2 linked regions of the Saccharomyces cerevisiae S288C genome follow. The gene in region 1 interacts genetically with each later gene. Each region holds a gene or a part of one and is shown in the gene's direction. Other genes may lie near its edges.

Region 1 (2,689 bases):
GAAGACATTCAAGTCCTGAGAGAAAATGTAGACATTTTAAGAAAAGTACCGGAAATAAAGCACATGTAAAGCATTGAGCTCTGTACTCTATAAAAATTAGCTGCATTCAAACAACAATGTTTGAAATTTTTGCAAAAGTTATTGAAAAAGATTGCTGTTTTCAGCCTTGTTCAGATCATGTCTCAAAAATGAGAAACTGGAACTCTCATAATCAGTACCTCGTATTTTTTTTTCCTTATAGTTTCGTTATTAAAAATTTTTTTGCTGCTAATTTAAGTACGCTTTTGGTCATAAATGCTACCCACCAGTTGAATTATTGACATGATTAAAATACATTTCAGAACTTTACGGATTAAAAACTTTAAAGAACCTTTCAATCCATGTTGCTGGAGGGCCATGAATCCACGAATTACAGCAAAAGAAGACAGTAACTACTTAGGGTTCAATAATTACTTGCATAAACACACACTAACAACCAAATCGTACTAAAATTTGCAATTAACAAAACTCCATCATATCACGCTGAATTATGTAGGGCTTCTTAATGCAATAGGTTGCCTGAATTTTGCTTACTCGTGCTGCCGGGAACACTTAGCAGTTGGGAGGCCGTTTCTCCCATATATTTCATAATTTTCTGTCCTTCTTAGAGTAGGATGCTGAAAATCAAAAGAAGACCGTCAATAGGACCAGATTTTGTGGGTCAATTTTGGGCCAGACACATGATACCCTAGGAAGTTTAACGGTATACAACTCAAGGACGAGGAGTATTCGGAAACTACCGGTTTTTAACAAGCTGCAAATTTCCAGTAGCTGTTTTGGTTGCGACTACGGATAAAAATTCATACTTTAGGAAGTGAAGCAAGATAAAAAATCATGCTGCATCCTAATTCGTGAAGTTTGTTAGGAATATTATTGTAAACAAGGAACCGTTTCAGTAAACTTGCTCTCTACTCTTCTAAGCTGTAATTTAAAAAAAGCGATAAAACAATGATTTTGATTATCTGCAACTTCTGGAAACTCGAGATACTACGCTAGACGAGATACCTATTAATTGTTTTCCTAAAAAATCAGGAACAGTTCCTGGCAGCTTTCGGCTCCTTCTTGTTCTGGAAAGGATCTTCAAATCCGCTTCCACGTAGCAGTCCTCGCTACGACTTCTTCTGAAGTATTTTGATTTTTGGCTGCATTTACCTTTTATTGCCGAAAATCTTATTTTCCAAGAAAAAAGCTTATTTTGCATTAAGTTTAAAAAATTTCTTCTTTCCCGTAGATTGACTTGCAGCGTCAAAATTCCGGAGGCCTCACGAGATTTTTTGACATCGGTTTTTGACATCTCTTTTTCCTTCCTTTTTCTTTCTTTTCCTGCGCACGCCGATAAAGAAGTAGTACAACAGACAACGTCAAAATGATCCTCTTGTGATGAAGCAAAAGAGGAAGAGTATACTCCTTTTCCGCTTGTACAAATATTTTTTTTGATAATAAAATTTGGCACTTCAGAGCTTATCGTATCTTCTCCCGGAGTTCCTCAAGACTTATACTTCAGCCCGTTTAGGAATGCATAAAAGCAAATAGGATTCGTTACAACTGCTGCAGGACTCTTTAGGACTGCATCAAGGTAAGCCTCGCTGCACCTAAACGCAAAATGTGGTTGTAACCTTTTTAATTTTTTTCTTGAACTTGTTGAGTCGTAATAAATCGTTTCTGGGAAGTGGAAGGTAATAATGTAATGGAATCGGCGTTACTCGCATGTGCAGATATCAGCGACAAAAAGTGTTGTAGGGACGTTTCGATACCAAAATTTCCTAAATACAGCGCAGGAACATCACTACGCTAAACAAATCGTAGCGCATACATCTGATCGAAAAAAGACAGTTCCCAAAACAATGACATATGAAGAGACCAGCATCAAAATTTTCATCATTAACAGCATGGCTAAAAGTTATTGTTTAATATACCCATACCTGATTGACGAACCAAGAAATGCCTTATCACTATTTATTTTTGGCACTCTTCACCTACCTGGCCACGTCCAATGTTGTTTCAGGAAGTACACAAGCATGCCTGCCAGTGGGCCCGAGGAAAAATGGGATGAATGTCAACTTTTATAAATACTCATTACTGGATTCAACAACGTATTCCTACCCGCAATATATGACTTCTGGATATGCCTCGAATTGGAATTAGGTTCCGTTGGCGGACAGACGGATTTCTCAATTGACTACGATCTTTCTTGTGTTATCTCTTCAGGAACTTTTAAATGTGCTCAATCAGATGCTTATGGAAACTGGGGATGCAGAGGTCATAGTGAATGTTCAAAATAGCCAAGAAAGACCTATTGGAGTACTGATTTACTTGGTTTCTTACTATCCCAAAAAACGCTACTCTAGAAATGACAGGTTACTTTTTACCACCACAAACAAGTTCTTACACGTTCAGGTTTGCTAAGGTCGATGACTCTGCAATTCTATCAGTCGGTGGTAACGTTGCGTTCGAATGTTGTGCACAAGAACAACCTCCAATTACATCGACGGATTTTACAATCAATGGTATTAAGCCATGGCAAGGAAGTTTGCCTGATAACATCGGAGGGACTGTCTACATGTATGCAGGCTACTATTATCCGCTGAAGGTTGTTTACTCCAATGCCGTTTCCTGGGGCACGCTTCCAATTAGCGTGGAATTGCCTGAT
Region 2 (3,765 bases), on another chromosome or scaffold:
GCAATCCCAAAGAAAGGTCGTTTATATTCTAAAAGTGTTTCTATTTTGAATGGTGCTGATATTACCTTTCACCGCTCTCAAAGATTAGACATTGCACTAAGCACAAGCTTACCTGTAGCGTTGGTCTTTCTGCCCGCTGCAGATATTCCAACTTTTGTTGGTGAAGGTAAATGTGATCTTGGTATAACTGGTGTTGACCAAGTTCGTGAATCTAACGTCGACGTAGACTTAGCAATCGATTTGCAATTTGGTAACTGTAAATTGCAGGTACAAGTCCCCGTAAATGGCGAGTATAAAAAGCCAGAACAGTTAATTGGCAAAACCATTGTTACCAGTTTCGTGAAACTTGCTGAAAAATACTTTGCCGATTTGGAAGGTACTACTGTTGAAAAAATGACCACAAGGATAAAGTTTGTCAGTGGTTCCGTGGAGGCATCATGTGCTCTGGGAATTGGTGATGCTATTGTAGATCTTGTAGAGAGTGGTGAGACAATGAGGGCAGCAGGTTTAGTTGATATTGCCACCGTCCTAAGCACAAGTGCCTACCTAATAGAATCAAAGAACCCAAAGAGCGATAAGAGTTTGATTGCTACTATCAAATCAAGAATTGAAGGTGTCATGACCGCTCAAAGGTTCGTTTCATGTATTTATAACGCACCTGAAGACAAGCTGCCTGAACTGTTGAAGGTGACGCCTGGCCGTAGAGCACCAACCATTTCCAAAATTGACGATGAAGGATGGGTTGCTGTTAGTTCCATGATTGAGAGAAAAACGAAGGGTGTTGTTTTAGATGAATTGAAAAGACTCGGCGCATCTGATATCATGGTTTTCGAAATTTCTAATTGTCGTGTATAAGATAGAACAGAAAAAGGGAAGCCAAATCCCGATTAATTTTGTATTTTTTATAGGCAATAATTTGATAGAGTTCTATCTTATTCTAAGTTACCCCTCATGACTTCCCAAGTGTGTTTTGAGGTTATCTCTGTGAATATTTTTTCTTTTTTTTTGCTACTTCCCCAGGAAGTTAAATCTTCGTAGCATATTTGTCAGCTTTACTACCGTCTTCATGCTCATGAAACCTTCTTCTTCAACCCCCTTCATTTCTCCAATTTTCGAAAACTGGAGCTACCCATAAATATTCGGAGTTTTGTAGGTATTTTTATTTTGGAGAAAACCTGTACAAACTCTCCCCAGGGAGCATAGATTGGGGATCGTAACGCATAAAGCTGTCTAGAATGCATTTTTCCATGCTACGTCGATTTTTTGCCCGGAAGAGGCTGACGTAGCGCTGGAAGGTACCGACAACTATGCCTATTGTGGAGATGGGCGGCAAACTCCTGTCGCAGAGTGGGGGCGGGGAAAGGTTCTTTTTGCCGTGGAATGAAGCGCATAAAAGAAAAACAGTATGCCATATTAAGTCTTTTTAAGGGGAAAGGGGCTGCTACCATGAGGTCTTTTACCAAAAATGTGTATCAGCTACGCTTCTCAATGAAGGGGCCAAGAAGTTCGTTCTATCCAACAGGAAATATTTCGATATTGCAACGGTCTTTCTATATCTTGCATATTCTTCTTCAGGTTGAGTTCCTTTATATATACTGCATTGCGTAATAAGCAACACAGGGCCCATCCGTTCAACAGAAGAAAACTAAAGCTTTTCAAACATAGCCTTTCCAGTTCAGTGCATATTTATAGAAGGTAAACCTGCATACAATACGGTTAAAACAATAGGAACGAAAAGAAAGCTAGACGGGAAAGCAGTTACTAAAGGCAGGGTTGACGGGACGTTTAAAGAGAGAAGTCTGGTTTATAAAACCTTTTAGTAGTAAAAAAGGAAAAGAAACAAGGAAGGTTGGCATTCTGTTTGATTGAGGAGAAAGGAACCACATTGGACTTTTTTTTTTCTTTCTGTAAGGTATAGTTTTTAGTAGGCTGAACATCAAAAAGATCTCCGTTGTACTCAGAAACAAGTTTAATAGGAACGGGTACAGATATCTTGTCAAAATTTTATTCTTACAGCCCAAGTTTATTAGGATTTCATCAACGCAACAATGTATATAAAGGCAGAACAGAAACCCCAACAGTTTGAGAGGAAGAATGAAAAACTAGACAGAAATAAAAACCAGCAGCTACCAGATCTTGAAACAGATTTCAAGGGTTACAGAGTGAATTCGGACCTATACAACAAAGAACGAGATGGAAGTACGGAAGAGACTTTAAACTCTTTGAAGTTTTTACATAAACCTCAGAGAGTAACTCAAATGAGAGCGAACAGGTTCCCAGAGGAAGAAGTGCAAAGAAACACTGATTTAAACAAAAGAATTTTCTCCGCAGGGAATGATGAAAACGTTGATAATGAGAGCGGCTGGTCAAAAATTGCCGCTGCCAAGAATCACACTTCCGTAGAATCATTAAATGGCAGTACGAGACCCCCATTCAAAATAGAGCTGCCTCCCCTTTCCCCCAAATCCACCGTACCAAAATCTTTTCAAGCAGAATATCCCGAAGCTAAGTCACCTGGCAATGATATGAATTTTGAATATGATGAAGAAATTCTAATTCCATTTGCGCCACCTGTATATAAAAAGTCAGGTGAACTATTGAAGAGCTCATTGAAGAGAAGATCAAAATCATTACCTACAACCCCAGGTATAAGGAGCGGGAATGGTGTCCAAGCAAGAGACGGTAGTCCGATGTTGATTAGGAGTAAGAGTGTTCACTTTGATCAGGCGGCACCTGTAAAATATTTTGCTGAGGATGAAAGCCCTATAAACGTTAATAAAACTGAACAACACGATAATTGTCTAAGCTTTAAGCATAAGCCAGTGAATTTAATGGTGGACCCGGAAGAAGAGACAAAAATGCTATCATCTGGATTAGAAACGACATCCATAGATGATGACTTGACGACAGTTGCGCCAAAAGGCTTCGCACATCCTGCTAAAATTTCGAATCCAAACAATGGTAAAGGCACCAACAATACAAAATTAAGAAAAAGTAAAAGATTTCAGAACCTCCTAAAGAACAGGACCGACATGCCACCATCAAAATCAAATAAAAAATTCGTTAATGGTGGCGGTGCTCATGAAATTTCAGATCGTAATTCAAAAAATTACCATGTTGTTGGATTATACAGCAAGAACTTCCCCATTTTAAGCAACAAGAATCCTAAAAGTTTAAAGCTGAACATTTTTATCAATTTATCACAAAATAAGAAAGTTTTTCTACAAGAATTGTCATTATACATCCATAGAGACAACAATTACTTTTCAAATTCCTCCTCATTTTATAATATTCCCAATAGCCACAATGGTAATGACTGTAATGGTGTGGCCAAGGGTTATAACGCTGGCTGTACAAGATTAATTGCTGGAAGGATACTAGTGAAAAACATTTTCTATGATAAAAGAGTGGTGGTACGATATACGTGGGATAGTTGGAGAACAACACATGAAGTGGAATGCGTTTACATCAGTGATGGCGATGGAATATTGCCGGGCACTAACATGGACATTTTCCACTTCATTATCGATGATGTCAGCAAAGTGGATCCTCGCGGCAAGTTAGAATTTTGCATTCATTATTCTACACGTAACGACTATGAGCGCGAAGAGTACTGGGACAACAACAACGGGAATAATTATAAGGTGGATGTTGTAATGGATGGCTTTAACGATCCCTTCGCGGCGGCAGCATGAAGGCAACCAGAAGGAAGGAGATGAAGAATGGACATAAAAAGCAAAATGACTTGCTAGATCTTGGCCTGAG

The links.
Region 2: mutations in YHR212W-A (region 1) and GIP2 together harm fitness less than expected from each alone (positive genetic interaction), as found in Saccharomyces cerevisiae (one large-scale study listed by BioGRID).

Annotation. Positions count from the first base shown.
Region 1 is NC_001140.6:536,762-539,450, forward strand, and holds YHR212W-A (uncharacterized protein), read left to right. Parts: upstream 1-1,980; coding exon 1,981-2,184; downstream 2,185-2,689. Other genes in the region: YHR213W (uncharacterized protein), read left to right, coding at 2,390-2,689.
Region 2 is NC_001137.3:261,982-265,746, reverse strand, and holds GIP2 (Gip2p), read left to right. Parts: upstream 1-2,048; coding exon 2,049-3,695; downstream 3,696-3,765. Other genes in the region: HIS1 (ATP phosphoribosyltransferase), read left to right, coding at 1-855.